7 linked regions of the Mus musculus genome follow. The protein of the gene in region 5 purifies or fractionates together with the protein of the main gene of each other region. This does not show direct contact. Links are inferred from orthologs where the notes say so. Each region holds a gene or a part of one and is shown on either strand. Other genes may lie near its edges. The genes, in order: Ddx54, Nkap, Ccnl2, Hadha, Csnk2a2, Zc3h4 and Dcaf7.

Region 1 (3,375 bases), on a different chromosome or scaffold from region 5:
GAAGCACAGAACATGAGCCGGGGGCAGCAGCAGCTCAAGTGGTGAGTGACCATTCCCTGTGCCACCAGGCGTGGCCTTCTGTGTCCCCCTTTGACTGCTCAGAGCAAGATGGCGACTCCGTCCCTGGAAGCTGGCCTTTCTCGGTAGCCTCTTACCTGCTATGCCCACAAGGACTCTGATGATGTTCCCCCGACACACACAGGGCTCGAATGTGTTGTGGGGATCGAGCTCCGAGTCTCCAACTCCCGTGCTCCTTTTGAGACTTGGGCTGTCCAGGGAAGGTGAAGGAACTGAGTGTCCAGTGCAGACCTGGTGTGACTGGCTGTTTTCCTTTAATCCTCTACTGACTATATAAGTGAGGCGACAGGATCCTCAAAGTAGAACCTCCCATCTCACTTTCAGGGACCGGAAGAAGAAGCGGTTTGTGGGGCAGTCAGGCCAAGAAGACAAGAAAAAGATCAAGACAGAGAGCGGCCGGTTTATCAGCAGCTCTTACAAGCGGGATCTGTATCCTGAGAGGCTGGGATGCAGAGGGGCAGGGCCAGGCGGCTACCTGCTGCTGCTCCTATAGGCGTGGCCATGTCTGGGGGCGGGGCCGGGCGTTCAGCTGCTGCTCCTATAGGAGGGGCCAGGTCTAGGGGCGGGGCCGGGTGTCATGCTGCTGTCCCTATAGGAGGGGCTGCGCCTGGGGGCGGGGGCGGGTGTCTTGCTGCTGCTCCTATAGGAGGGGGCGCTGCGCCTGCGATGGGACCCAGTGGTTTCCTCAGCATCCCCGTAATAAGGGGCCTTTCTCCAACTTGGGTGCTACTTGCTACTTCCTTAACGAGGCTTTCAGCTACCAGAAGTGGAAGCAGAAGCAGAAAATTGATGACCGGGACTCCGAGGAAGAAGGGCCATCCAACCAGCGAGGCCCTGGGCCCCGCAGAGGTGGAAAGCGAGGTCGTAGTCAAGGTGGGCAGGGCAGGTGGTATGGTGTGAACAGGAAGAAAGCCAGGCATGGTGAGGCACAGGGATGAGCACGGGCCCAAGGCTGAGCTCCCCCCAAATCCCTGTGTTGACAGGCACATCCCAGCCCCGAGCTTCCAGTGTACCCGCAGGCCGCATGCGCTCGGAACTCAAGACCAAGGAGCAAATCCTCAAGCAGCGCCGGCAAGCTCAGAAGCAGCGCTTCCTGCAGCGAGGGGGCCTGAAGCAGCTTTCAGCACGCAACCGACGCCGAGCCCAGGAGCTGCGCCAGGGCGCCTTTGGCCGGGGTGCTCCCTCCAGGAAGGGCAAGATGAGGAAAAGGATGTGAGGAGCCAGACGCAGCCCTGGGGCTTCCTGGTAGCCCCGGGTGTGGACGTCAGGGACTATGTCCATGTGCTGTTGGAAGATCCTTCCACAGGCGCTGCTCTGTGAGGAGTAGTGCCATATGGCCACAGAGCAACAGCTGCTTTTGACTGGGACATTGGGTGACCTCTGAAAGGATGCATAGGAGTCTAGCTATGCAAAGCAGGCAGACCCAAGTCCTGACCCTGCAAGTCACAGCGGCTTCTGGTTCCACACCTTCAGGATTCAGAGATCAGGGCCGTGTGGATGCCTCTGACCCAGCATTGAGTTTTAATGTAATAAACTTTACTGCCTCTAGTAGACCAGGAGTGTGGCTTCCTCAGGATGTTTTTGGAAGGTGTCTCAGCTGTTGTTGAGGCTGAGAGCAGGTGGCCATGCCTGCGTGTCCCTCCTGGTCACTGAGATGAGGAAAATGAGTCACCCAAGGCAGCTCAGGACTGCTGCGGGGCAGAGAAAGGCTGTGGTGGCATTGCCCTTCTTCACATGGAAGAGAGAAAGCAGCCTGCGCCAACCCTCGTGTCTTCATTCTGCTGGTGGCTTTTTCCACCTCTTGCTTGAGGTCCTGGGTGTGTGTGTGTGAAGCATCCTCCAGTAGCCAGACCCCAGTGCAGGTCAGGCACACATTGGGGACTACCCCGTTGGGCCCGAAGAGCAGATGGTACCAATAATCCCCTGCCGCTCAGATCCACTGTACATAGCAAGTGCACATCCTGGAGTGCACTGGGCTCCATCTGAGCTTGTCCAATGCCCCCCCCCCCAGCCAGCTGGGAGAGGCCTGTCCCCAAGCCTGTTGTGGTGGATGGAGTGACCAGCCCAGCTGTCAACCCCATTGTCTACTTAACTGAGTTCATACTGAATGTCCCGTGGAAGGCTCACAATGGCGTGAGGCGTCACCGCTCTGTCTTGCCCAGGAGAAAGGATAGTCAGAGAGCGGTTACGTTGAGCCTGCACACCAAGAAATGTGGGACTTGGTCCCTCAGGTCCCCTTCACCGTTCGCCAGGCCGGATTAGGAAGCAGTAGCTGTAGGCTGAGCCAGGGCAAGTTTGGCCAGTGTGGCTGAGATGTTCATGATAAACCGCTTCACCTGGGGGCAGAGATGACATGGCCAGAGTACATCCTCTCCCCACCCCCACAGAGGCAGGCCCAGGGCAGGGGTGGGGCTGGAACCCTGACTGGAGAGGCACTGATAGTGTCTAGCCCAGCCTCCTAAAAGTATCCTTTGTTCTGTTTATTGATAAAAGTACAACTCAAACTTGGCCTCTAACTCAAGGTATTCCTCCTGCCTCAGTTTCCTAAGTGTTGAAAATGATAGTATATAACACAGATTTTTTTTTTTTCTTTTAGACTGTATAGGGTCCCTATATAGTCCTGGCTGTCCTGGAAGTCGCTCTGTAAACCAGGCTGGCCTCAAACCTAAGAGTTCCGCCTGGTTCTGCCTCCTGAATGCTGGGGTTAAAGGCGGGTACACTGCCTTGCCCAGCCACTGAAGGAATCTAAACCAGACACTTGGCATCTTTCCAGCTGGCTCCCTGCCAGCCTGGTGTCCCACCCATGTCAGGTCGTGTCTCCCTTGGATCAGGCTTGGCTTGTTGGCTTGTAACCTCATCGACATAGCATCTTTTCGTTTTGTGCTAATTGCTCAAGTATAGGAAATGAACGGACACCTATAGCCCCACCACCAGGAGCCAGAATACAGCACATGTACAGCAGCCTGTGGGAGCCTCTTCATGTCCATCACCTGGGTAAACACTGAGACCATAACACAAAGAAGGGAAAAAACCAGAATAGCCATCCCTTGCCATGGCAGCGACAGGGAGGATGGTGACAGTTCTCTGTTCTGGCCAGCCTGACAATGATTCTTGGCCTTGAGAGGGGGGCAGGAGAGACCCAGCACCCTCCTGATTCTCCCTCACAGGAGCAACAGGAGGGATAGAGAAGAGGGACTAACTCAGCTAGTCACAGTGCACAGCCCCCCTGTAATCCCACATCTACATAGCAAGTCTGGGGTACGCCTGGGTTACATGAGATCCTGCCAAAGACTGCAT
Region 2 (4,338 bases), on a different chromosome or scaffold from region 5:
AAGTCTCAGCAACATGGCTACTTAAGCAAGACCTGACAAGGATGACACCAGAAGATAGATTATGGGAAAATCTCACGAGGCTCTAACCCTAGACAAAGAACTACAGGCAACTAGGTAATGCTGAGAGCCAGGAGAAATAGTCTTCCCTCAGCTGATTATCCAATACCAAATGGTCGGTCCTGAAATCATAAACATACGGTTAATATATGCTCTGAGCAGGTTATTGTAACAGGGCTCTAGACCTTAGTAGGTCCCCAGACCTTAGCACAACTGACTCCATGATGGAAGTACCATTCAGGCTGCAACATTCAGCATGTAGACAGTATCACCTGCCAAAACAAAAGACAAAAGATCAAAGTACATAGTTCTGGGAATATTCCTAAAGGTACTGACCTTCCCTGTTGGCTTCTGTAGTTTCACTTTTGGACATGTTCTTGTTAACTGAAGTATATCAACACAGGACGTGTGTGTGTGTGTGTGTGTGTGTGTGTGTGTGTGTGTGTGTGCGCGCGCAACTTTTTTTTTCGAGACAGGGTTTCTCTGTGTAGCCCTGGTTGTCCTGGAACTCACTCTGTGGACCAGGCTGGCCTTGAACTCAGAAATCCTCCTGCCTCTGCCTCCCAAGTGCTGGGATTAAAGGCATGGGCCACCACCGCCCCGGCGTGTGTGACTTTCTATTGGCTAAAACCCATATCTAAGTAGTCTTCTCTGGTGAAAACATTACAACAGCTATAGTTACAGGTACATGTAATGACAAATAAAGAAAAAGAGGCAATGAGTTTAAAAGAGCAAGAGGAGGCACGCAGGAATGGTTGGAGGTAGAAAGGGGAAAATGACACAATTACATTTCAATTTCAAAAAAATTAAAAACAAAATTAATATTTGAATGCTCTTTTGCCTAAAAATACTTAATACATACAACTATTAATCGTCTACCTTATATTTTGCTGGGCTAGTGTATGATGGACTAGTTGAAGGGGCTTGATAACTTCGTTTTGTGGGACATTTGTAGAGATGGGTGGCTTGAACCTACGTACTAAGATTTTCCTCTGGGTCGCTAAATTAATCGGAGTATAACAGACTGAAGTTATCAGAATGTATGCTTTCTAAGTGAACTGGACAACAATGATCTTAGATTAAAGCTTAACCCTAATCATGATCTTTTGTTTGCTTGGGATTAAAAAAAAAAGAGTGGGAGTGGGGGTTATAATACATACACAGATTCATACGCGCACACTATACAGGCAAAGATCGTCCCACACTAAATAAAGGGAGAATTGGCGGTGTTGCTTATATGGCTACTCAATGAAATACTTGTCTCATTCATCGCAATGTTCTTTCAGGCATCCAGTGCGGTTTAGGTTTCAGAAACCTCACTAGGAACTGGATGAGAGCGTAGCCTCAGTTTCCTGGCCGGCTTCTATATAGAGGTACACAAATCCCTTCCTGTTGGCGGCAAGGACTCTGGGTCCGGGGGAAGGGGTTTACCGCTGTACACGGAACTGTTTCCAAGTTGGTTTTTTTGTTTGTTTGTTTGTTTGCTTGCTTTTTTTCGGATTTGGTCGGCTGCAAGCTCTAGGACCCTAGGTGTCCGGGACCTTTGGGGGTCGCGAGAGCGCCTCCTTGTCCCGCCCCTTGGTAGCTTCAGCTTCCCCCACCATGGCTCCTGTATCGGGCTCGCGTAGCCCTGAACGGGAGGCCTCCGGGGCGAAGCGTCGCAGTCCATCGCGGAGCCCCAAATCCATCAAATCTTCCCGCTCCCCGCGGTGTCGCCGGTCTCGCTCGCGCTCTTGTTCTCGGTTCGGCGACCGGAATGGCCTCAGTCATTCGCTGAGTGGCTTCAGCCAAAGCTCCCGAAACCAATCTTACCGCTCCCGCTCTCGATCGCGCTCTCGCGAACGGCCCTCGGCACAGCGGAGCGCCCCGTTTGCTTCTGCATCCTCGTCCGCCTATTACGGCGGCTACTCGCGTCCCTACGGGGGCGACAAGCCATGGCCTAGCCTGCTGGACAAGGAAAGGGAGGAGAGTCTCCGGCAGAAGTGAGTGAAATCGCCGCACCCTCTCTTGGGTCATTCTGCCTGCCTTTGAGTCCAGCTTGTTCATTGTTTCTGTTTTATTTCGCTTCCCATCCGCCTCGCACCTTTTTCATCTCTTTCTTCAGTTCACCCCGTGACCTTTTTTATTTATCCTTTCTAACTTACATTTTCATTCATCCCTAGACTCCTTCATAAGAGGCCCTGGTTTCCCACTACCTACTTACCCCTACTGGGAAAGTAAGAGGCTATTGTATGCCTTGGTGTCATTATCCGTGCACCTGTCTTTATTCCTCACTAAACGGAAATAGAGGTTTGTGACTTTTATTGATCACAGAATTAGTAGTGCCTGCCTCTTGGTAGGCATGGCAGCTGTTTCTTGTTGCATGAACAAACAGAAAAAATTGAGACAAGAGGATATTTCAGTGGAAACGTTTTGCAGTGAACTGGGAAGTATTGTAATTAAGTATATGTATTGGTTTTGAGGGAAAAGAATAATTAGATGAGGCTATGTTGGGAAAAGTCTTGGCAAGTGGTCTCAGCCGTGTTGACCATGCAAACCAATGTGGGAATGAGATTGGATTTCCTCTAATGGAATTCTTAGTTTAAAAAGACTCACAAATCTTTAGTAGCAACAACTGTGAGACTCTTGAGGCAAGTCAGAACACTCATTCTCATCGACGTAGCAAATTTACGGCCGCCTTGGTCTACATGAGGCCATGCCTCAAGACATATTTAAATTCAAAAGCTGGGCATGCATGATGTCTCACTCCTGTAATCCTAGCGTTCAGGAAGCCGAGGTAGGACTGTCACAAGTAATTCGAGGCCAGCCTGTACTACAGAGTTAATTCAAGGTAGGCCTGAGGTAGAGTGATATCCTGAGAGAGGCTCATGTTGCTGCATTAGTCATAGTATCTGATATGTATGAAGTTTATTATGCTTGTTAAAAATTAGGTCTTAGGCCCTGTACCATGTGTTTCAAAATGGTAAAATTTCAAGTATTACAGGCATCGAGGGGCAAGTTAACTTTCCAACAGTTGAGAGATGCTTCATGTTTTTTTTTCCTCCCCCAGCAGGGGAAGAAATACAGTATAAGAAAAAAAAAGGGCAAGTTTCCGCATTGCCCTGCCTGAGTGTGAAGGTTTTGTTTGTGGTGAAGCAGGATGGTCTTGGGCAAGTGAGACCTTTCCTAGCTTCGCTTCTTCATCATTAAAAATCCGCAGAAGCTGGAGCTGAGCTCAGGGGAAGAATGCTTGCCTAGCAAACCCGAGGCCCCGAGTTGGAGCAGCGGCCCACAAGGGACAGGGAAATCAGTAACAAGGCTTTTAAGGGTGTAATAACATCCATAAGTGAAACAGTCCTGATCTGTTAGAGACCTCTGGGATGGTACCCATGGAGTGTGTCAGTTGAAAAGCAAATGCTGAGCCAGGATCATGTCTCTAATCCCAACACTTGAGAGAGGGTCAGAACCACTAGGAGTTGAAGACTAGCTAGACCCTGTCCTATGAGATCCAGTTTCAGAGGAGTAAAGGATTTACTGGAATGTTAAGTGATTGGATGAGATTTGCATTTGTACTTTTAGGTGATATGAAGTTTATTCTGTCTATTAAAATTATGTCTTAGGCATGGTACTAGGCCTTAGACTTTGTGTTTTAAAATAAGAAATTTTAACATATTACAGGAGCAATAGACATGAGACTTCTGTGCTCTTTATGGCTGGGCAGGCATTCTTCCCCCAGAAGCCACAAACAGTTGTACCCCTTTTCTAAATTATCCATTTTGGCCAAATACAAAATTCTCCAAGTCTCTCTCTGTGTAGTTATCAATACCCTTTTTCATGATCAAAAATGTTAAAAAAAAGAAAAGCCAATTATAGGTCTTTCGTAGTAACTTTTTTTTTAAAGATTTATTTATTTTATGTATATGAGTACACTGTAGTTGTCTTCAGACACACCAGACAAGAGCGTCAGATCACATTGCAGATGGTTGTGAGCCACCATGTGGTTGCTGGGTTTTGAACTCAGGACCTTCGGAAGAGCAGTCAGTGCTCTTAACCACTGAGCCATCTCTCCAGCCCAGTAGTAACTTTTAAAAGTGAGTCATAAGCCATCAAACTTTAAGGAATTCAGGCTAATTATTTTCTTCAAAGAATTATTTTTATTTTATTTATTTTTGGGTGGAGGGGATTGAGACAAGGTCACTATGTATAGCTTTGGCTGTCCTGGAACTCATGTTGATGAAGCTGGCTGCAAACACAGAGAGATCTGCCTGCCTTTGCCTCCCAAGTATTGGGACTGAAGGCATC
Region 3 (4,693 bases), on a different chromosome or scaffold from region 5:
GATTTTGAAAGCTGAAATCTAAAAGACACCATTTCAAACACTCTTATATTGCTAAAAATAACAATTATAAAAAGTTGATAAATAAAGGACTAATTTTAAGTTCTAGACATAAACAAGAAAACCAAGAGGGGGAACCGTTCAGTACGTTTCAAGGCCTTCACTCCTGCACACAGTAGAAGTCAGCTCAAGTGTGACTTGGGTGGCTGCAGGTGCCAGGCCAAACCCACCTTGTGAGGGTGCTTCACATGGACACAAAAGCCCAACTCCTTGAGAACCCGTCTCTCTGCCTTTATAATCTGGTTCTTTAGGTTAACATACTCTTGATCAAGCACCAGAGGCACGGGCTTCCTGCAGGGAAGGCAAAGAGTAATATGCTCTGTACCAGGGTTGATCAAAACCTTTTAGATTCCACAATTATTTCCAAGCGATACATACCACAGCACCAGAAAGCTACAAATGACATTTCCTGTAACAAAATTTTAGAAGTCCTCAAACCTACATACACTTATTACCCACCTGCCCCCCACCTTGACTTTACACATAAACAATATTCTAGCGTAACAACACACCTCCTGAATATGGTGGAGAGTCTGAGGATCTCTGCACAGTGCTATGACACTGTGTCAGAATTCAAGGCAAAAAGATCACCCTTTTCATGAGTTGTAAACTGCAGAACCAACACAGCACAATAAAGTCATCCCTTGGTACACACTGGTGCTGGGGTAATGACAATTTTCACCTAATACTAATACCCATGAATGTTTAAGCACCTTACGCAAAGTGGTGGACTATCCCCACAGCCTCTTCACACTTCACATCGTATTTGGATACTTTATACCTATTACACTGGAAATGTTGTTGAAGGGACAGTGACAAGGAAGTCTAATCATGTTCAACACAAAAACTATTCCACCTCATACTCTCCCAGTCTCTCACCCCGAACACTAATATTTTCAAGAGTTAGTTGAACTCTTGAATGAGAAACCTGCAGATAGACTACAAAAAGAGAGACATGGTCAAGTCTCAAAGGGTTTGTTAAGCTGGGCACGATAGTACAGTCCCCTAAGCCCAGCATTCTGGAGCCAGAGACAAGACCATCTGTATGAGTGAGACCAGCTTGGTCTACAGAAGGCTCAAAGACTGTTGAGGCTCATAGCCAAGACTGTTTCAGAATAAAGCAAACACCAAAGGGCTCCTGTGAAGGAGCAGAAAGTCTGGGACAAGGTCTAGGTGCACTGCTATACTATTAGGGATATTTGTTTTCTGGTTCTGTTGGTCCGTGTGGATGTTTTAGCTGGGGGCTGCTGTAGTCAGTTGTCTCCTTCTCCTTCTACAACGTGGGACTTCAGTATCAAATCCAGGCTCTCAGGCTTGCCAACAGGTTCCTTAACTAACTAAACCATTTAATCAACCCAGTGTGTTTGTTCTTTAAATTTTGTACAACATTTGTTTGGTATGTGGGTTGTGCCTATGGAGGTCAGAGGACAACTTGCTGGAGTCAATTCTCCTCCTACCATGTTGATCCCAAAACTAAATACAGGTTGTCAGGCTTGGTGACAAATGTGGTTCACACACGTAAGGAAGATTTAGATGGGATTGCTAAGAGGTTAAGACTGCTACACAGCTAGACCAGATATCAAAAAAGACAGCTGTCTAGGGGTATTTCTGTTACAAATGGTTTCTGGCAAGGAAAGGCCAGGAATATTGATCGACATATTACAATGACACTAGAACAAAGAATGGCCAGTTCAGACACTAACAGCGCTGAGGGTGAGAACCAGGGACCTGGTGCTCAGAGGTTCTCAGCAGAACCATGGAACAAACAGGACAATAGGGTGGTGAGCTGATGTGGTCATACAGGAATTGTTTCAGCAGGGCTAGGACAGCCAGCTATCCTGGTTATTGTACCCCCCTACCAACTGCCCCAAGACAGCATCTAGGGCACATGCGAACAATCTACTGTAAATTCACAGGTTGGTATTAACAATGACAGACATTAGGACAGCTCTGCAAAGGACTCACTTTTTCTCTCTCAGATGCCGAAGGCGATGGAATACATTGATGACATCCCTGATTCGTCTCGGAGCCTCTTCTATTTTGGAAGCCAGGTGAACACAAGCCATGGACACATGCTGAAATGTACATTGTGACACGGGTGTTTTTCCCCCCAACTTGAGAACCTTCCAAGGCATTAAAACTATTAGAAACAACCAGAAGATACAGAGACAGACAGGCCTCTAGGGAAAGAGCTGTGTAGACTTTGCAGGACAGAATTCAGCTAAGCACTGGGCAGAACAGGCCAGGTTTCATCCCAATTCATTTCTCCGAGAAAACAGAAAGAAGCCTACCTCCATGGAATGTTTCACGAAGGACTTAGTGTAAAAGAACCGCTGGAACAGCACCTGCCCTGTAGCCATGGCCACCTAGGGACAGAGAGGGTTCCATCACGTTTGAATGCAGGACTCACGCTTGTCCCGGCTACAATGTCTTGTGTGATTTCCCCCCAGGACAAATAGCCACGACAGTTTCCATTTCCCCCAAAGGGTTTGGGTCTCGCGAGGCTTTCTTGGGGGTAAAAGGGCTTCGGCTCCGGCGGAGGGGGAAGGGGAAGGGGAAGGGATGGCGGGTGCGGGTTATTTCAAGGCTGCGGAGCGCACAGGCTCGGACCTCGTCGCCTGGGTCCGGTGAGCTCCGGGCCGGGGGCCGGGACGACAACAAAGGCCCGGCCCTCGGCCCTCGGCCGGCGAACGGCCCCTGCAGAGCTCGCGGCCCGGCCCTTACCTGCGGCAGGCGGAGCAGGATGCCGGCTGCCTGGATGAGCTCGCAGCCCACGACGCGGAGTCCCGTCTCCGTATCGACGTCGAGGCCGCTCGACATGGACGGCGTGAAGCGGAGCTTGTCGTCGGGCAGCAGGCAGTTTTCCAAGGTGATGAGCACGCCCGAGTAGAGCCTGTCGCCGATCAGCACCCCCTGAGACCCCGGGGCCGCTCCCGCCGAGCCGGAAGAGCAGGCCGCCGACGCCGGAGCCATCAACCCCGCAGCCCCGGCCGCCGCCGCCGCCATTTTGTGCCGCCGACTCTTCTCGGGCCCTTCCCGTCAGGGCGGCTGCTCGAGACGATCGTGGCCGCCCCGCCCCGCCCCCTCCCATTGGCTGAACGTCACCGCTGTCTCGACGCCGTTGGCCGTACGACCAGTCCGTCAGTGTCGCGTCAGGCACCGACGCCGGAAGCACCCACGGGTGGGGCTGCTCGTTACCCACTTGGCTCCGCGGCCTGGCCCGAACCGGAACTCCTGCCTGGCAAAAGGGGTTCTAGAAGGGCGCCTTTCTTTGGGGGTTGGGACAGAACAACTTTTCTCCCACAGTCCCACGTGCACGACGTTACACCGCGACTTAGTTCGGAGTCTTTAGTTCTCAGCCCTCCCTTCCGTCCTCGGGCTCTGGAACAGCTGTGGGGTGGATCTGCCAGCATTAAAAGGGCAGATGTGCCTTTAATCCCAGCACTTAGGCAGGCGGATCTGTGTGGGTTCAAGGTCAGCCTTCTCTCTACAGCTAGAGTTCCAGGACAGCCATGGCTGAGAAACTTTGTCGCAAAAATAAATAAAATACTAAACAAAAAAGTGCAGATGAAGGGTCTGGAGAGATGGCTCAGCAGTTCAGAGAACTGACTGCTCTTGCAGAGGTCCTGAGTTCCAGCTACGACATCATGGCTTGCAGCCATCTATCTGTGATTGAATCTGATATCCTCTTCTCTCATTCAGGCACAAATGCAAACAGAGCACTCATATACACAATCTTTTCTTAAAGGGGACCCCCAATAATCTACTGCAGCAAATACAGGCCAAAAAAATGGCTTGGGGACCTTGAAGATCAAGGTGAAACGGCTTGTAGTAGACCCTACAGACAATATTAATATTCCTGACTCCAGTCCTGGCCTGCTTAGTTTCACCCAAAACAGTGCTGCTGCCACTACACAATAGATGTTTCCTGTCACTGCTCAGTTATCTCAAGCTTTTGATAAGATTTCAGCCAGGTTCGGTGAAACGGAAAATTGGGAGGACATGGGAGTTTAAGGAGATCCCTGTATAACTCTGATTCAGGTATGGTGAACAGCCAACAAGGTTGCCAAAAGTCAGTATTCCATAGTCCAGCTGTAGTGGGGTGATTGGATTCCACTCCTAAGCAGACCCCACAAAGATCTCATCAGTCCTCTCACTGTAATGGCCACGCTGCTACTGTCTGTCCGTCTGTCCCACCCCTAGGCTGCAGCTCTAAAGTAGGCACAATTGTCATTGCCTGGTCTGCCCATTCCCTAAGCTGAAACTGAACCAAGAATTAGAAAAGACTGTTGGCTCTAGTCACTCAACCCAGACTCTGGTTCTAGAGATGACTATTACATCCATCAGGAAGAGAAACCTATATTGGAGAGGGATGCTTGGTTACAACTCAACAGTGATTTGCAGTATCTTGTCTTTTTTGTGTGAAGTAGAAAACAAAGCTCAGTGATGGGGCCACATGGATGTGTATCTTCTCCAATATCAATAGCAAGTGGCTAATGAGTAATATATGTGCAACATTCTGGCAAAGTGTTAAGCATATTGTATGCAAGACACCAACCTAGTACAGTGACGTTTAGGCTGATGAAAAAGTCAAAAAAGCCTTGTAGGAATCCTCAGGAAAGAGAAGCCAAACTTA
Region 4 (4,415 bases), on a different chromosome or scaffold from region 5:
GCAACACAAAACAAGTATGTAACAGAGCACAGGGTGGGCTCACAAAACAAACTATTTTCTGTGTGGCTCTTTACAAAAAAAGGATATGAAATAGGTGTAGTGGAAGGCGTGGTATGGGAAAAGGGTTCCTTTTTTGCAATTTACTCCGAAGTGGTCATTTAGTACCAGCTTAAAGTGTTCTTGGTGGTGGAAGACTTAGTTTGACTAGAGCTTTAAAACAGGACGCTCCTTTCTTTCTAGAATCATTTTAGCCATTTCTTTCCTGTGTGGCAGAATAATCAATTAACTAGCAAGTGCCACTTCTGTTTGAATCCTGGCTTGCCACAGAGAAGGTATTATAATCTTTCTGAGCCTGTCAAGTCACCGAAAGTGCAAATGAAACGTGGGGTTTGTGCGTATTAAACAAAATGGTGCACACACCGGAAGCTGACTTTACTTTCTTTTGAAAACAATCAGTTTATTTCAGGGCTCATCTTTCCAGCACCAAAACAAACAACTCACACCCTGGCGCCCAGAAGAGCTGAACTCTCAATTAAAAGTAGACTTAGGTTCTAGACTAATTCTACCACCTGTGGCGCAGTCTCAGTCACTAGCTACGGCTACTTCACAGAAAAAAGAGTGAGGGGTGGCAGGTTTGCCCAGATGTTTGCTGGGTTAGAAAATGTCCGTGAACCCTGGATCACCAAGCAGACTGGAGGACTGTCTTGGCTGCTTTCACCCCCGAGACCCGCACTTAACGACGCGTTCTCAATCTCTACAGCCGCCAGACTGCCTAGACAGGTCAACAACAGGGGAAACGACACCGCTCTGACACAGCCCAGCGTTTCACACACACGCAATCCATTCGTAAACCTGAAGTGACAAATGCAGACAGAAGACACCGCTGCCGCGAGCTACGCGAGAACGCGACCACCGCCCGCCCTGAGGCGGTTCGCACTGGAGGCCTGGACCAGCCTGTCCCGCTCTTGGGACTTCGACCCTCACAGCAAAGGGAAGCGGCCGCGGGCATCGACGAGAAGAGTCGGGAGCAAAGTGGCACCTGCCTGTGGGGAAATCAGAAGAAAACCGAGAAGCGCGCTGCCGCACCTTAGAGTCCGCGAAAACTGCCGCTGCCAACAAGGTCAAGTCCAGACTGACAAACGTCCGCCCACGCCGAGGGGCGGCTCCCGCTCCGCAAGGACCCCCTCTCGCCCCGCCCGCCATCACCGCGGCATTTACGGGCTGCCCGCTGAACGCCTGAGCAGAAAGTCAGACACTCCGCCCTCTCCTCGGAGGTCCTTAGTCTCACCTTCAGAGAAATCATCCTTTCGGCTCGCTTAGTTGAGAGCAAGAGGTAGGGCGACAGGACGGGTGGCAACTCAGAGTCTGCGTTTTAGTAAGGCGGCACTTAGGACACCCTGCCGGACAGGCTCAGAAAAGAAAAGCCCTCGGCTCCATTGCCCCCCACTAGAAGAGCTTTCGTCCTCTTCTGCTCAAGATGGTGGCGTCCCGGGCGATTGGCAGTCTCAGTCGCTTCTCTGCCTTCAGGATCCTACGCTCCAGAGGTGAGCCTGGAGAGGGCTCGGGAGAGTCTCGGAGTGCCTTCAGGAACTGGGGCGGCGGGGAGCAGCGTTTGCCTCTCACTGTCTGCCTCCCACCCCTTTCCCGGGACCCGTGGAAATGGGGCTACTGTTCCGAGACCCTATTTCCTGTGTCCTTGTAAAGGAACTGTCACACCCTCTCTCGCCCTGCTCCGGCAGTGTCAGGCTCTCCCCTAACTTTCCTGAGTCTTTTCCACTTAGTCTGGCAGTTTGCGCAGGTCTCTGCTGTAGCCCTGAGCTCACGCCCCTCTTGTCTCCCTTAATGTTTGTCTTGGCCCTGACACCGCTAAGTTCGGAGGACTAAGTAAGACCTGTCACATTTTTGAGGCTCTACTACATGTTAGTCGCCATAAGAGATATCTATCAGCCTTCTCGGTGACATTGACTACTAGCCTTACAGATCAATGCCACTCCTTGATCTTTTCCGTCAAAACCATTTTTCCCCCCCAGAGAACTCAGCTCTCCCACTTCAGTAATCTTAGTTTGAATGTATAGAAGGTTGAAACTGGAGGTTCTCCGACTTAGGCAAAGAAATTTTGATGAGGAAAAAAATTTTTGATCACTTAGAAACTATTTCTAATCTCATTTCTGTCGATTCCCAGTCAGGCTCCAGGAACTGCATTCCTTTTCAAGCTGGCAGTGAAAGGGTTAAAGGGGTGTTGTTAGAAAACAGCCTTTTCCCAGACATCCCAAATCTGTAAGGGCAAATGTAACTTCATTGTGTATCATACTTGATACTAGTTACTTCCCAGACTTTAGTTTGTAACGTGAATTCACTTTAATTTTCCTCACAAAAAAAAAGGGATGCGTGTAGAATTTACTTCTCTTACCCTCCCCTGGCATTTAATTGATTGAATCTTTTTCTACTTTTTTAAAAACCTCCATAGATCGATTATGTGTAAATAGCCAAAATTGCTACCCACCAAAAAAAAAAAAAAAAAAAATTAAAAAAAAAAAAAAAGTGAAGTGGACTGGGTGCTAATTCACCTTTAATATTAGGTGGGTCTTTGTGTTCCTGTCTGGTCTACATAGTTCCAGGCCAGTCAGGGCTACACAGTGAGACCCTGTCTTTTAAAAAAAAGAAAAGAGCCGGGCATGGTGGCACACGCCTTTAATCCCAGCACTTGGGAGGCAGAGGCAGGTGGATTTCTAAGTTCAGGGCCAGCCTGGTCTACAGAGTGAGTTCCAGGACAGCCAGGGCTATACAGAGAAACCCTGTCTCGGAAAAACCAAAAAAGAAAGAAAGAAAGATCCATCGATCTCTATGTCTCCTGTTTGCACTTGGTTGTGTTTCCTTTTCCACATTTATAACAGTTTTAGGGGAAAAAAGGCACCTATGGTCCTGTATTTGATGTAAGGTACTTTCATGAATTGGCAGCCAGGTTAGCACTGGAGTGGTGATTGGGTCACATGTTCTCTTGTCACTAGCTAGCTGTTGACTTTGCCCTTTCATCTAAATGGGCTTTCTTTTCCCATCTGTGAAATGAATGAGAGTGATTTTTTTTCTTTGACAGGAGAAGTAGTATGATGGAGCAATTAAAAGCATTAAATACGGACTCTGTCATCTGGCTTGAATCTACAGTTTACCTTCTAGTGACCTTGGGAATTAATTTCAGTATCTTTATCATTGGTAAAATGGAGTCAATCATGTTAAATCTAAAGAAGTTATATTAGGTATAACACATAGGCATACATTCTCAATAAATGTTATTAGTTTTTTATCCCTTAGAAGCAATGACTATATATAGCTGAGAACTTGTAATCTATCCATTTTACATAGGTAATAAAAAGCTAACAGCTAAATTTTCCTATACTTCTACATAGAAACATATCTAAATATATAAGTTGTATTTTTTTTTTCATTAAGAAAATGTAGTCTAGAGCTGGAGAGAGGTTAAGAGCGCTGACTGCTCTTCCCAAGGTCCTGAGTTCAAATCCCAGCAACCACATGGTGGCTCACAACCACTCGTAATGAGATCTGATGCCCTCTTCTGGAGTGTCTGAAGACAGCTACAGTGTACTTACGTATAATAAATAAATCTTTAAAGAAAAAAAAAAAAAGAAAAGAAAATGTAGTCTATTATAGCTACAGATTATTTTAATACCAGCTTATGCACTTTGAAAAAATATGCAGGAAAGTCTATTTAAAATTAGCTGTACACCTGATTTACTATTTAGAGTCTAGACTCAGCAGGTCTGTCCTTGACCCTGAGAGTGTGTGGAGGCATTGCCAAATGCTTAATGAACTATGGCACTTACTGTGAAAGAGATCTTGTACAATACTGTTATTCTAACATGACTATCAAAAAAGTCATAAGTTGATCTTAATATCCATTTAATTCCTACTTTTCCTAATTCCTAAGTATGTAAGTGGTAAAACAATTTTACAAGAAGTGAACGGCAATTAGTAGTTATTTTTAAATCTGACTCTCACTTCTTGTCCCAGGGTTGAATTTTGAAAAAGCTATAAATTTCTATAAACTAAAGTAACGTTTCCAGTTTTCAAAGTTGTGCAGCACAATCCAACCCTTCCCACTGACTATAGTTGTATATGACCTTGTAGATATTTTCTTGAGTTACACATGAAGATGATTAGAAAGTAGGGCAAAGGTTTTGCATTTGCTGGCACTGAAAATGTAGGCTAAAGTTCACACCGCGTCTGTATAGTAAGCTTTGTTGTTAGGGTAAGGCTGGATTCCAGAAGCAGTTACCTTGTACTTTGGCTTGATTAAATTGATAGTCGTTAAGATTTTTTTTAAATGTTTGTTCATTTACTGCTCTTTCTCTTTGCTTTTTGTCTCTGTTGGTTTAGAGTATGTTTTGTGTAAGTGTGTG
Region 5 (4,578 bases):
TCAGGCTGGCCTTGAACCCACAGTCTACTCCTCAGGTAGGATTACAGTGTGCAGCCTCAGGGGTCGCTCTCAGTCTCCTTTACTCTAGAGCAGCACCTCAAGTTTTGTTTTGGCTGTGACACTGTTATTTTTTAGCAGTGTGAACTAGATTTTTTTGCTGAACTGTCCCTCAGTTTGGCCGTGTCTGGTTGGATGCAGGTTGAGCTTTTTTGACAGCAATGTGATGAGTGGTGTGTCCTTTCTCTGTGCGTCACACAGAAAGTCAGCTGGTCCATGCATAATATGACCTTCAGGGTCCCCTTTGTAACCAGCATGGTAACCGTGGGCCAAGAGCACTGTGTTGACTGAAGGCCTCCTGCCCGGCAGACACTGAGTGACCTGGTGGTGATCACCCAGCCCTAGTCATGCCTTCACATTGTTTTCACAGGGAGGGGACAGATGGCAAACCAGGAGAGGACTCATGCCAAGCTGTAGTTTTACGAAGGGCATGGAGGAGTCGCTGAGAGAAGTATCAACTTCAGAGAAAGTGGCCTCTAAGGTGAGATTTGAAAAAGAAAGCCAGTCATTTGTGGGGTGGCAGCGGTACCCCGTGGCCAAGCTCAGAGAGAAGAAGAAACTGAAAGACGGGCATGCGCTATTCTCAGGGAAGGAAAGGTGTAGAGTTTAACAACAGCGGGAACATGTAGTGTTTTAATATGGAGCAGTCCTTAGTCTCTGTACAGCTCTGTGAAGTCGGTGCTGGGTTGATGCTACAAAATCTGTAGCACGGAGACGTTGAGTCATTGGTTCAAATCTGCATTCCTTGCAAACTATGGAACCGGGACTTGAACCTCGATAGTTCGGTATGTGAAGAAAGAGGAAACGTGGCCTCATCTAGAAAACAGTGTGTGGGGGGGAGGGAGAGGGGGAGTTTAGAGTCAGAGCAACCTGGGCTGGAAGAAGAGATCCTTGTTGTTAAAGAATATGAACAGGAAAACAAGATAGCCGGGGACCCCAGGACATCAATGAGAGAGAAGACTGTTCAAGAAGTCCTCACTCCCCAGCTCTCCCTCCTCCCAAACAAACAAACAAACAAAATGGATATTTACATTCTCAAAGTATGATCCACAAATTACAGGTTCAATACAAAGGGGGAAAAACCCAGTTAACTTTATGGGGAAACTATCTGGTGGGCTCTGGTTTAAGCAAGTGGCCCAAAGGATGGCTCAGTGGGCTCTCAGGGAGGAATCTGGATGGGGAATTGGGAGGCGAGGGTAGCTTTAGGACTAGTTTGGTTTTCCTCTTGAAGGAAGGGATCTGTGGATGGCAGGGTGGGGTCCAGAGTGGGAAGAGGAGTGAGGAAGGGGGACAGTTTGAGGGGAGGGTTCTTGGGTTTCAAAGAAAGTCAGCTCAGGGCCAATATGGGAGGTCGTGGTGGGTGGACACGAGGTGACTGGACAGTGGAACTATGCTAAGCGCGGCGGCAGTCAAAGGTAGAGACTTCTGGGGGGTGGCCTGCAGTTGGGCAGGCAGCCGGCCACATTGCTTGGAGGGTGGCGAGCTCGCTGAGGGGGCGGGCGCCGGCCATAGTCCCCCCGCACTGTAGGGGGCGCTGTGGGCCGGGGCGGGCCGGGGCTGGGCGGCGGCCGCTCCTGGCGAGTGCGGCCCCTTTTCCGGGTTTCCTCCGCCTCCTCCTCCTCCCTCTTCGCCGCCGCCGCCGCTGCCGCTGCCCCTCTCCCGACCGGTGGCTGCCGCTGCCGCCACCACCGCCTCTGGGGGGCCGCGAGCCGAGCGGAGGCCTCCGCGGAGCACGAACCCCGCCGTCCCTCCGGCAGCCGAAGGCCCCGGGCCGGCTCGGCCGGCGCCTTCCGCGCCCCCCGGCCCGAGCGTCCGTCCGTCCGCCCGCCCCCGCGGGCCCGGCCTGGCGCGGACGCCCGCCGCCGCCGCCGCGCTCCTCCTCTTGCTTGGGCAGCCCGCGGCCCGCCGCTTCCCGTGCCTGCCGCCCCGCGCCCCGCGCCGCGCCGCCGCCGCCCTCGGCGCCCCGCGGCGCCCCCCGGTCCCGCCCGCCATGCCCGGCCCGGCCGCGGGCAGTCGGGCCCGGGTCTACGCCGAGGTGAACAGCCTGAGGAGCCGCGAGTACTGGGACTACGAAGCCCACGTCCCGAGCTGGGGGTAAAGCCGCCGCCGGCCGCCCCACGCGCGAACCGCACCCGCCGGCCGCTCGGCCTCGGGGCTGGCAGGGAGGCCCGGCCCCGGCCGCACGTGTCCCCGGCCTCTCCTGTCCGCCCTGCCTCGGTCCCCGGCTCAGCCGCCGGTGGGGAGAAGCGTGGGGTCGGGGGTGGGGGCGGCCCTTCCTCCTCAGACTTTGGGCTTCCTATGGGTTGGGAAGTCCATGGCTGTCCTCTTGAGCTGTTGAAATCTCTACCTCTTTACTTTCTGAAATGAGGCTGGGTGGGAGGGTCATTTTGAAGAGGGGCAGATTGTCTAGAGCGGGCAGTGCCCCCTGGAAGGTGTGAAATGGGAGGCAGGTGCCGTGGAGCCACGGGCAGGGCACCCCAGTACCACCAGGGGGGATGCTTCCCTTAGTCCCCTTAATGGCTCCTGAGGCCTTGTAGCTGCCCATTCCTCTTCTTGTTAAGAGTCAGTTAGGTTAGGAGCTCTGCAGAGTGAAGGGAGCCAAGCTTCTGTGTGGCTCTCATTTAAGAGAATGAGTTGCTGTGTGATGGTAGGAATACTTCCGAATGCTTGATTAGTTGGAGATGGCGGATGGATGTGTGGTGGACAGAGGCTTGCTTAATCCCAAATCCTGGCATTTATGTATATCTCTTGCCTTTCACAGTAATCAAGATGATTACCAACTGGTTCGAAAACTTGGTCGGGGCAAGTATAGTGAAGTATTTGAGGCCATTAACATCACCAACAATGAGAGGGTGGTTGTAAAAATTCTCAAGGTGAGTGGCCAACGGTGGCATGTAACCTTTCCCCCCACAGGGCAAAAGAACCAGCTATCCCAGAATAAGCATCTCCTACAGGACTCCTACCATGCTTTTCCTTGTGAACTTTTGAGAAAATGTGCGGGCTGGTCTTAATTCTGAGTTTGGTAGGTCAGGAACATTTAAAGTGTGAATTCTGAACTTCTCAAACAAAGCTTGTGAGGGGGGACTGTATCTGATATGGAATAAAGAGGTATTCGCAAGAGAGGAAGGAGTTTGCATGGAGAATCTGTCAACTGTAGGGATTCTAAATCTGTACTCGTTACTCTCTGCTCCCAGTTACTCCAGAAAAAGTCCGGAAAACCCAAAACAAAACAAAACTGGAGTCTGCTCAGAGATAAGTTTAAAGCCAAAAATTCAGGACAATTCCCTCAGTTGATATTTTCATTTCATGTAGCAGTAAAGTTTCAGGTGGGCTGGATATAGCAAGCCAGCCGCTAAGAGATCTGGGGCAACAGAAGAGTACATTCTAGCCCCTGAAATAATAACTGGAACAAAACTTGTCTCTGTGGCAAGACTAGCCCTCTCGCTTTGATAATGATAGGGCTTTTGTTATCACTCAAATGAAGACATGATCTTAATGAGCATGAAGAGTCAGCCAAGTTTCTGTACAGGTGATTGAAGATTCAATAGTGCTTTGTAGGTTGTTCGAGAGGGTGGTTCGTAGGACCTGAGCGGTTCTTCATGGTTGTCAAGTCATTTAAATGCATATGCTTGTCACCTTAGGATCTGGGCAGTTTTTCATGTTGTCAGATCACTTAACATGTATGTGTGTCACTAGTGAAAGAGCACTGGAGAGTGGTAGTGTTTCACCAGATTTTCACAGTGCCCAGTGAACAAAAATGCAGGATTGAAAAGCTTGTGCCTTAGGGCAGTTCTTATTTAATTGTGTAGATTTTAGCGTTGTGTGAATCACCTTTCAAAAAAAATGGCTGCTGCTAATGCTCCTTACCATCCTGGCCTAGTGATGAAGGAGCAGAGTTGCTGCAGAGATGGGTGATGCTATTGCTGCTGCCCAAGACACTGGGGTGAGAAGGAAGGAATGATGGCAGATAGGGAGCTTGGCCCCGCTAAGTATGAGTTGTACATTGGAGGTCTGTAGTTATGGGAGGGGTGTGTTTTAAGCAGAGAAATGTTTCCTTCAGGGAACTTGCTGGAGGAAACCATGCAATTTCATTACTTACATAAACCTGTTTTGAATAGAAGTTACTTCAGACATTTTCATTTTAAGGATAAGCAAAAACAAGCATAGTTGGGAATATCCATGTTCTGTTGCTGCACATTTGGAGGATTGAATTTGCCAAGTCTAAAGCAATTTCAGGGAAATGTCTAAATGTCTGTGCAGTAGCATTTTGGGACTAAGTGCTGTTTGCTGTGGAGTGTTTGGAAGGGAACAGTGCTCAGGTGTGTGTAAGCCCCAGTGTGTTTAAGGAAACATAGGGTTAGTAGTTTCCCATGGTTCTTGTGAGGAACTTCAGAGATGAGTTGCTTGATAGTTTTTCCTCTGCTCTAAAGATCCAATGCATATATTTACCACATCCAGTACGGAAGCGGCTTTAAATTATTTTTACAGATAGCAGACCTAGGCACAAAGAAATGTACCTGA
Region 6 (4,483 bases), on a different chromosome or scaffold from region 5:
TTGGCACCACCCTTCTCGCCTCCAAGGATGACGCCACTGGCTGAGTTATGTAGTGACGTCATCTCCGGGCCGCCTCTTCTCCAGCCCCTCTTCGGGAACGACCGACTCCTGGGACCGGTCTCCGGCTTTCGGTTAAATTTTTTCCCCTCCCATTATTCTCCCACCTAAAACTTTGGGCTCTTCCCGCCTTCCTTCAAACTAGCAATTTTCGGCTCTTCTCGCTTGCTTTGGGGGCGAGTTCCTGAAAGTCATTTACCCTTGAGTTAATTAATCGCCTTTCTAGCCCCACCCGTTCAGCTTATTCGCTAATTCCTATTCGCTCCGCTCAATGTATTTCGGCTACTTCCGCCTCCTCCCGGGATCCCTTCCCTGACTTCGGCTCTTTCCGGACTCTCGCCTCGCCCCCCCCCAGGGGGGGGCTTCTCCCATCCCGAAGCGCTTCGGCTATTTCCGGCTCTCCCGGCCTTCCCTAGCCCCGCCCCCACGACCACCCTTGGTCCTTTAGGTGGGTCTCTGATCCGCTCCGCGTTGCTGCAGTGACCTAGATCTTCCCTCGGCTCTTTCCGGCTTTTTTCAGAGTCTCGTTAATCTCAGCTGTGTTCGGCTCTTTCCGTGCCCTCTCCTCCGCCTCGCCCTTCCGCTTCGGCTCTTTTCGCCGACTTTCGGGCGGGCTGGCTCTGCCCTTCTCCACGTGACGCTCCTCCGGCCTCTCCGCTACCCCCTCCCTCCACGCCCTTCCTCCGGCTTCAGCCTCCGTGCTTGTCCCGGCTGTGCCGCCATTTTGTGTGAATTCCTGACCGCGGCGGGGGCCCGGCAGCTGGGGCATCTAGGGCGGGCAGACAGTCGGCCCATCTCCATAGCCCGATCCCTCTTCTCCCCGATTTTTTTTTAACCATCCCCCCTGCTCGCTCTCCTCTCCCCCCCTTTCCCTTCGCTTGCTCCGTCGCGCGCGGGCCCGCGCTAATTACACCCAACCACCCACCAGTGTCCGTGTCCCCCGGGTCTCAGGCCTTGGGGGGCCGCGTGTGTGTGTGCGTGCGTGTGTGGCGGAAGGGGACCTCTCGTCCCGATGAGGGTCCCGTGCCCGTGAGCGAGTGACCTCAGGGCCAGGCTGCGGAGAAAGCAGGCGGCGGGCGGCCTTGCCGGGGCCTAGGCCTCGCGGCCTACGTGGAAGTCGGCTCAGAGGTGACTCCGAAACCGAAAAAAAAAATACTCGATATCGATCTATGTATCTATATGCCCAGTTCCCATCAGGAGGCCCCGGAGCGCTGAAGTGTGCCCCTCCCGCCACGCCCAAGCAGTCCTTTTTGGTGCATTAACATCCCCTCCCCCTCAAAGGAACGATGGAGGCCGTGCCCGGGACCCCCCCGCCGCCGCCATCAGAGTCGCCACCGCCGCCATCGCCACCGCCGCCATCAACGCCTTCGCCTCCTCCGTGTTCCCCCGACGGCCGCGCGGCCACCCCGCACCTCCTCCACCACCGCCTCCCGCTCCCTGACGACAGGTCAGGCCCCCCGGCCTGGGCCGGGCAGCGTCCCCCGTGGGAGGGGGGGAGGAGGAGGAGGAAGGGGACGGCCGCCATGTTGGGCCGGGCCGCGGAGGAGGAGGAGGAGGAGGAGGAAGGGCGGGGTCGGTGGGTGTCTCTAGCTCGCTCGCTCTTTCTCGCTTCGCTTTCTCTCCCGGCCTCATGCGTTGCCCCCCCTCGCGGCGTTCGCCCGCTCTCCCTCGCTCTCGCTCTGTCTTTTTTTGGGCGCCATGCTGAGGGGAAGGTGAGGAGGCGCCCCCCGGACCCCCCGCGCCCGCCGGTCTGTCGGTCCGTCCGCCCGCCCGGGGCACGGGCCGCCAAGGGGGTGGGCTTGCCGAGGCCCATCAGCCTCCTCGGCCGCCCCTGCTCCGGGAGCTGGCCGTCAGCGGCCTGTCGCCTGGCTTCGGGGAAGGCTTTTGGGGGAGGGGCCCCCGGATTCTCTTGTTTTAGGGGCATCTCCAGCTTGCAGCTCCTCTCTTAAGGGGTTCGGAGTTGGGGGTCTTCCCAATCCCCTACAGTATCCTTTCTCCTGGGGGACGCATACCCTGTCCATTTTGGATAGGTACCCGAGTCTAACGGAGGCAGAAAAATGGGGGTTTGGATCAGCCTTCGCTCTTTCGTTCTAAGGAGGACTCCTTAGGATGGGGGCTCTGGTGCACTTTTAATTTTTTGGCGGGAGGTATTTTCTAGCTTCTCCCTAGAAGGCAGGCAGGTAACGGGTGCATTTCCAGCTCTTTTGATTAAATCCCCTGACCTTCTTTGGAAACCCTATTGGTTTTTTTTTTTTTTTTGGGGGGTCCCTCTCTTTTTGTAGGTAGGTGACAGTCAGTGGTGGAGGGTCCTTAGTTTTAAGGTTTTTGTTTTTTTGCGGGGGGGTTGTATGAAGGTTGCTTTTCCTGCATTGGATAGTAGAGGAAGTTGGCCACCGCTTTCTCCGGGCATCGCCCCCTCTTTGGGGCAAAACAGGGTGCAATCGCCCCCTTGGGAGCAAAGATCTCCCCCGTGTGCTTTGGCAGGACGTGAACTGTGGCGCCTCTTGTCCTCTAGTGCGAAATGGGTTCCCCACGCCCTTCTCTGGCGGGTGATAATGGGACCAGCCCTGCGTGTTTTGAGGATGAGAGGTTTGGGGCCATTTTTGCCCTGCTGGAGCCGAAAGATAAGGGGTACATAGTTTGCTGATTCCTGGGAGCTGGAGTGAGTAGGTTTGAAAATAGGTGGGTTTCAGGGAGCAGAAAAGCTAGTCTTGCAGGCGGGGGTGGGGGTAGGGTGGAGAATGCGCTAGACAGAAGCCTCGCTCGCAGCCGTCAGGGAACCGCAGAGGACCCCTTCAGACCATGGGTCTCAGCCCTTTCTCCCCACTCCCACCTCCTGTTCTCCCTTTCTCCTTCACAGACCCTCCTTTGCCTTTTAAAAGAAATGCCACCCACATTCAAAGACACAGGTGCAGCAGTTTGGTGAGCTTTTTTTACAATTTTTTTTTTCCTGTTTTGTTCTAATTAAATGTATCGTCCTGGGAATCGCAGCCCTTCGCAGTCAAGGAAATAAACAGATTAGCGGAGGTCTGTTCGCTAAGCCCACGTTGGGCTTCCTGGTCCCCTCGGGGGCAGGTGCTTTACTCAAAGGTGCTTGCAAGCTTTATCCGACCTCTAAGGAGTTCTCTTATGTCAGAAGTGTATGTCTTACAATGGGTTGGGATGGTAAGTAGCCTCTTTTATTGAGTAATTCAATTATCTCCCTCTTTTAGTCCCTTTCCTGCCTGCTTACTCCTCGCCTTTAGACCAAAGTGATGCTTGAGAGTGGATTTATTATGTTCAAATCAGGATTCTAACCTATTGAGCCCTTTTAGACTTGCACATCCTTTCAGTGTTTAATTTAAAAATTTTTGGTGTACACAGTTTTCTTACAAAAAAAAAAAAGTGTTACTGTAACATGACAAAAGTCCATTGAAAAGGCCCAATATGTTTTCAGACCCTTGGTGTCCCTCTATTTTCATCCATTGCTTTGTCTCCAGCCTTCATTTGAAAGTGGCTCCCTCAAGTCCCTCTGGAGGGGATAAGCTTACAGAATTTGGTTTGTACTTGTATTCAAGTTAAAGTCACATCCCCTCGCCCTCCCAGAAAAGACCGTTGCAAGCAGGCCCATTTTCCATATTTTTTACTCAAATGTTACTTATGGTGATAGACATTTAAATCGAGCAAGTCATTTGTAAAGTACTGTCTAAGCACAAATGTATGTGTAAACTGTGTCAAGCCCTGATCTCTCCTGTCCACTGCTCTTTGTTCCGAAGCACATGCCTGACCGCGAAAAGTTGATGTAAAACGTGTCACACGCCCAGTCATGTTGGAGAGAACATGTTCCACCCTCAGTCCCCTCACCCTACACATACAAGTTCAACACCACCCAAAGCAGCTGCGGTGGCTTGCGGGACCTAACACTGTCCTTCGGATGTGTTTTACAAGCATAACTTCTGTAAAAGACAAAAACACGTTGAAGTTCCATTGTGCCCCTGGCCCACTTTTGGTCCCTGAAGTACTTTGTTAGGGAAGTCTTTCTCACTCAAGCCTAGTCCTTCCAAAGGAGCCGGTTCCCTCTTTGTGTTCTCAGGGGAGATGATGTCCATCTGCACGTGCAAGCGGCAGTTTGTCAGGCCGCTTGCTTTATTCCTTTAGATGTATTCACAGTTGTAACTGCCATGCAGTGGTGGTCTGATGTAAAATCAGCTCTTTGAGGAAGACATTTCCAGAATGTACAGAATTCCTGCACAAAACGTCTAAAGCACGAACGTAACACACTATCCAGTGCGCTGGGTCAGCTGGACAAAACATCTGAAGGTTCTCATCTCGTGTAAAGTTCCACCAGGAGCTCAGAGCAGAAGCAGGGTCAGCTGATAACCCTTCCATTCCACATGGTTAGAATTTCTAAGTTATGAAAGAACACTTAAACTTTAAAAATAAAATG
Region 7 (3,369 bases), on a different chromosome or scaffold from region 5:
ATGTGTCAATGGCATTGCCTGGGCCCCACACTCGTCCTGCCACATCTGTACTGCAGGTAACCATGGCGGGAGGAAGTATCAGGCCAGGTGACTGTGGTGGGTCTTAAGGTTTTGTGTTAGTTTTGTTATTTATTCTGTTGAGATAGGGTCTTGCTGGATAATGCTGCCAGGTAGTGACCCGCTGTATTTATCAGGCTGAGCTCCAAATGGCAGCAGTCCCCCTGCCTCTGCCTCCAGAATGCTGTTACAGTCATGTGCCACCACACCTAGCAAAACACATTCATTGGCAATAGTTCAGGTTTTTTATTTATTTTCTGATGGTGCTGGGGATTGGACCTAGGACTTTGAACGTGATAAGAGTTACTCTATCACTTAACTCTGTTCCCAGTCCCTAATGCTGGGGTTACAGGCATGGGTGGAATTTTTTTAATGTTGTATGTTTATATAGCACTTTATGTCAACCATCTGTGTAACTCATTGAAATGTAAATGTACATAAACTGGGAAACAGTCATCAGAGAAGCATCTTTATCCACGCAAGTATTTTTAGTGGCTGTCAGTAACATCATAGTTTGGGGTCATTGTATCCCGTGTCCTTCCCTGATTCCTGACTGCAATGTCCTGATCTAATTCTCTAACCCTGGTATAGTAAATGGAGCTTAATGACACCTGGGAAATGGAGTCAGGACCTAGATTTGGTCCTCACTGGCTACATGGCAAGAAGGAGCAAGTCTGGTGACATTCCTAAATCTTGGTTTCCTCTTCTCTAAAATAAAGCCCTTTCACAAAGCTTTGATGAACAAATGTTTCACAAATTGTGACTGCCTCTCCAGATGCAAGATTGTTACCCCATTGCCTGAGCTATGACATTCTTGCTTGCTTTTTCCCTAGCGGATGACCATCAGGCCCTCATCTGGGACATCCAGCAGATGCCTCGGGCCATCGAGGACCCTATCTTGGCCTACACAGCTGAGGGAGAGATCAACAATGTGCAGTGGGCCTCCACTCAGCCTGACTGGATCGCTATCTGCTACAACAACTGCCTGGAGATACTCCGCGTGTAGTGTTGGTGGCACCTCACGTATCCGGCAGGGGCTTGTGTGCTTCAGCCTCTGCCCCCTTCCCTCCCATGTAAGAAGAACATGTTCCCAGTGGCCAGTATGTCTACTGCTGCTTTACACCCACTGTGTTCAGAAGCTGCTGTAGAAGTCCAGGCCAGTTACCCCGCTGTCTGTGTTGGACTGTGCTGTGTGGCGCCACTGCAGCCCAGGGCTGGGTTTTAAATTTTCACTCCTTTCCTCTTCTTTGCTTCTTCAATTAAACGTTTCTGTATATTTGTTTGTCAGCTGTTGTGTTCATAAACAGTACAAGCACTGGCTCTGTCTGTGTCCATTTGCCCATGTCTGTCTGTCTGCTGCTGAGGCAGTCATCCATCTCGTGTCCCCATCTGTGTCGTGCTAGCACTTAAGTGGGAACAAAGGCCAACTTGAGATTGTCTTTCCTCCTGGCACCAGTGTCTTTTAACAAACCTCAACTTTGTATGTTTTTTATCTATCAGGCTAGTTTTTTTATGAAAAGAATTTAACCTTTCTGGTTTCTTGATTTCACAGATTTCCCTCTTTGTACCTTCCTCTCTTCCCTCAGTGCCTGCAGTGGGTACTGGACCCTAGACCCCACGAGCAGTTTGCTTTCCTGAGTCACTGCCTGTGGGGCACAGCCCTGACCCCTGACCGGGAGTTGACAACTGCGCTGGTGCTCTGAAGTCTACTGACTCACCAACCGTTCTCAGCCTGGGTCTCCTGAAGGCCCTCGGAGGCCCAGGAGATGCAGGAGGCTTCTGTTCACCCTCAAGTCCCTTTCTCTGGCTTCACTAGTTGAGTACCCTGTGGGGCTGAGATAAGCAGTTGACTAGGGGTCATGCGGAAGGAGAATCATGTTCAGGAAAGCTGAACTTATATTGTGTTTCCAGTACCTGGTTTCAGAATCTATTTTTCCAGTTTCGAACTTGAATGATAGGCAAGAGAGATCTCTCAGCTAAGCTTCTGTGTTTCTGTTTGCTGAGTCTCCTCTACCTGGTGGGACACTGGCCCATCTTTGGATTGAGTACTCTGAATAAGAGACTTCCTGGGAGCTACCGTCTGTGCTTGACCCTGAACAAGATCTTTAGACTGTGACAGACAGGCAGTTCTCATAAATGATGAGCAAATCAGCCAAGGTAGACTCAGGGCCAGCCAGCTAAGACTCTCCACGCCTGTGGCACCTGCCCTCTCTTCAGTTAAGGTTATGAGCAGTATTGGACTTTGTAGGCTGCAGTTGGCCATGCTGACTTACAGGCCTCGCGTGTCTGTTTCCGTTAGGTGTATGGGTTCCACAGAGGGGACTTGTATGTGGTTCTGACTTTAGATGAGTCCCCGGCAGTTTGGAACATGGTCTAGGAGAGGGTGGCTGTTTATAATCTGCTGAGCTGCTTGCAGGTTTCTTAGACGCTCTGGGACAAGGAGAGCAGCAGGCCTGATGGCTGATGGCTGGTTGGCCACTCATGCTGCCATTGCTGGAGAAGTCAATGTCGACTCATTCTTCTGGGAACATGGACTGTCTGGCAGAGTCTTTGCTTGCTTCCACAACTGATGTAGTTGTATGCCAAAAGTCTTAGATTTAGATTCACTATATTAGGACCTTGTCCCAAAGGAAAGGCCTTTTCAGTCAGGGTATTTCTCCTTGGCCTTCCTAATCTGTCATTCTGATTTTGGGTCTCTGGGGTTCCTGCACTAACCTGTGGCTTGTCCTGGATCAGTTTGTGGTTCCCTCTGCTCTTAGTGGCGTTTGCCAGCCAGGTACAGACTCCTCAAAGGTAGCAGACTTGCTGATGGTTGCTGCTGTAGGAGCCCTCAGTTTCTTCCTGGGCTGAGTCTACAGTAGTAGGCTGAGTCAGGGCGTCGCAGGGCCTGTAGGGAGCACCTGTGCTGGGGAGCACCTGTGCTGGGGAGCACCTGTGCTGGGTGGACTTTAGCTTGGGGTGAATGATAGGATTGTCAACTAGAACTTGAAAACAAAGTTTTAAAAGGTTAGCAGCAGTTTTAGAATACATTTGTGTGAGGTCTCTATGTGCTTTGGAAACCAACCACGTGATGACTTTTTCCTTGCTCTGTGGACACTTGTCAACTTTCTTCAGTCTTCCTTTTCTGCTCTCCAACTAGATTAGGTAAGACTCTTGCTATCTCTGCCTCCAAGTACGTGTGTACCCACAGTTGCAGGGTTGCTGGCATTTGAAGTCTCTCTCTTATCATATGCACAGGTGGCCCCTGTAGCTGAGGAAGAGGTTTCTGTGGGCGTGAGATGCAGGAAGTCCATAAGTCTGCTCTCTTCCCTG

What was found.
Region 1: the proteins of Csnk2a2 (region 5) and Ddx54 purify together in Homo sapiens (affinity purification with mass spectrometry; 3 studies listed by BioGRID and IntAct, with this or other methods). This does not show direct contact. The link is inferred for Mus musculus from reciprocal best matches to the Homo sapiens genes CSNK2A2 and DDX54.
Region 2: the proteins of Csnk2a2 (region 5) and Nkap purify together in Homo sapiens (affinity purification with mass spectrometry; 5 studies listed by BioGRID and IntAct, counting the BioPlex papers as one, with this or other methods). This does not show direct contact. The link is inferred for Mus musculus from reciprocal best matches to the Homo sapiens genes CSNK2A2 and NKAP.
Region 3: the proteins of Csnk2a2 (region 5) and Ccnl2 purify together in Homo sapiens (affinity purification with mass spectrometry; 3 studies listed by BioGRID and IntAct, with this or other methods). This does not show direct contact. The link is inferred for Mus musculus from reciprocal best matches to the Homo sapiens genes CSNK2A2 and CCNL2.
Region 4: the proteins of Csnk2a2 (region 5) and Hadha purify together in Homo sapiens (affinity purification with mass spectrometry; 3 studies listed by BioGRID and IntAct, with this or other methods). This does not show direct contact. The link is inferred for Mus musculus from reciprocal best matches to the Homo sapiens genes CSNK2A2 and HADHA.
Region 6: the proteins of Csnk2a2 (region 5) and Zc3h4 purify together in Homo sapiens (affinity purification with mass spectrometry; 3 studies listed by BioGRID and IntAct, with this or other methods). This does not show direct contact. The link is inferred for Mus musculus from reciprocal best matches to the Homo sapiens genes CSNK2A2 and ZC3H4.
Region 7: the proteins of Csnk2a2 (region 5) and Dcaf7 purify together in Homo sapiens (affinity purification with mass spectrometry; 8 studies listed by BioGRID and IntAct, counting the BioPlex papers as one, with this or other methods). This does not show direct contact. The link is inferred for Mus musculus from reciprocal best matches to the Homo sapiens genes CSNK2A2 and DCAF7.

The regions. Positions count from the first base shown.
Region 1 is NC_000071.6:120,625,999-120,629,373, forward strand, and holds the end of Ddx54 (ATP-dependent RNA helicase DDX54), read left to right. Parts: coding exon 1-41; intron 42-402; coding exon 403-507; intron 508-835; coding exon 836-951; intron 952-1,061; coding exon 1,062-1,294; 3' UTR 1,295-2,336; coding exon of another isoform or gene 2,337-2,414; 3' UTR 2,415-2,594; downstream 2,595-3,375. Other genes in the region: Cfap73 (cilia- and flagella-associated protein 73), read right to left, coding at 2,337-2,414.
Region 2 is NC_000086.7:37,125,337-37,129,674, forward strand, and holds the start of Nkap (NF-kappa-B-activating protein), read left to right. Parts: upstream 1-1,426; 5' UTR 1,427-1,659; coding exon 1,660-2,039; intron 2,040-4,338. UniProt on the Homo sapiens protein: Acts as a transcriptional repressor. Plays a role as a transcriptional corepressor of the Notch-mediated signaling required for T-cell development. Also involved in the TNF and IL-1 induced NF-kappa-B activation.
Region 3 is NC_000070.6:155,810,898-155,815,590, reverse strand, and holds the start of Ccnl2 (cyclin-L2), read right to left. Parts: upstream 3,103-4,693; 5' UTR 3,064-3,102; coding exon 2,782-3,063; intron 2,424-2,781; coding exon 2,349-2,423; intron 2,133-2,348; coding exon 2,023-2,132; intron 349-2,022; coding exon 228-348; intron 1-227. UniProt on the Homo sapiens protein: Involved in pre-mRNA splicing. May induce cell death, possibly by acting on the transcription and RNA processing of apoptosis-related factors.
Region 4 is NC_000071.6:30,152,011-30,156,425, reverse strand, and holds the start of Hadha (trifunctional enzyme subunit alpha, mitochondrial precursor), read left to right. Parts: upstream 1-1,445; 5' UTR 1,446-1,477; coding exon 1,478-1,544; intron 1,545-4,415. UniProt on the Homo sapiens protein: Mitochondrial trifunctional enzyme catalyzes the last three of the four reactions of the mitochondrial beta-oxidation pathway.
Region 5 is NC_000074.6:95,485,917-95,490,494, reverse strand, and holds the start of Csnk2a2 (casein kinase II subunit alpha'), read left to right. Parts: upstream 1-1,674; 5' UTR 1,675-2,047; coding exon 2,048-2,151; exon of another isoform or gene 2,152-2,293; intron 2,294-2,334; exon of another isoform or gene 2,335-2,818; coding exon 2,819-2,930; intron 2,931-4,578.
Region 6 is NC_000073.6:16,399,538-16,404,020, forward strand, and holds the start of Zc3h4 (zinc finger CCCH domain-containing protein 4), read left to right. Parts: upstream 1-1,658; 5' UTR 1,659-1,755; coding exon 1,756-1,769; intron 1,770-1,797; exon of another isoform or gene 1,798-2,941; coding exon of another isoform or gene 2,942-2,979; exon of another isoform or gene 2,980-3,199; coding exon of another isoform or gene 3,200-3,222; intron 3,223-4,483. UniProt on the Homo sapiens protein: RNA-binding protein that suppresses transcription of long non-coding RNAs (lncRNAs). LncRNAs are defined as transcripts more than 200 nucleotides that are not translated into protein.
Region 7 is NC_000077.6:106,053,793-106,057,161, forward strand, and holds part of Dcaf7 (DDB1- and CUL4-associated factor 7), read left to right. Parts: coding exon 1-56; intron 57-890; coding exon 891-1,063; 3' UTR 1,064-3,369. UniProt on the Homo sapiens protein: Involved in craniofacial development. Acts upstream of the EDN1 pathway and is required for formation of the upper jaw equivalent, the palatoquadrate. The activity required for EDN1 pathway function differs between the first and second arches.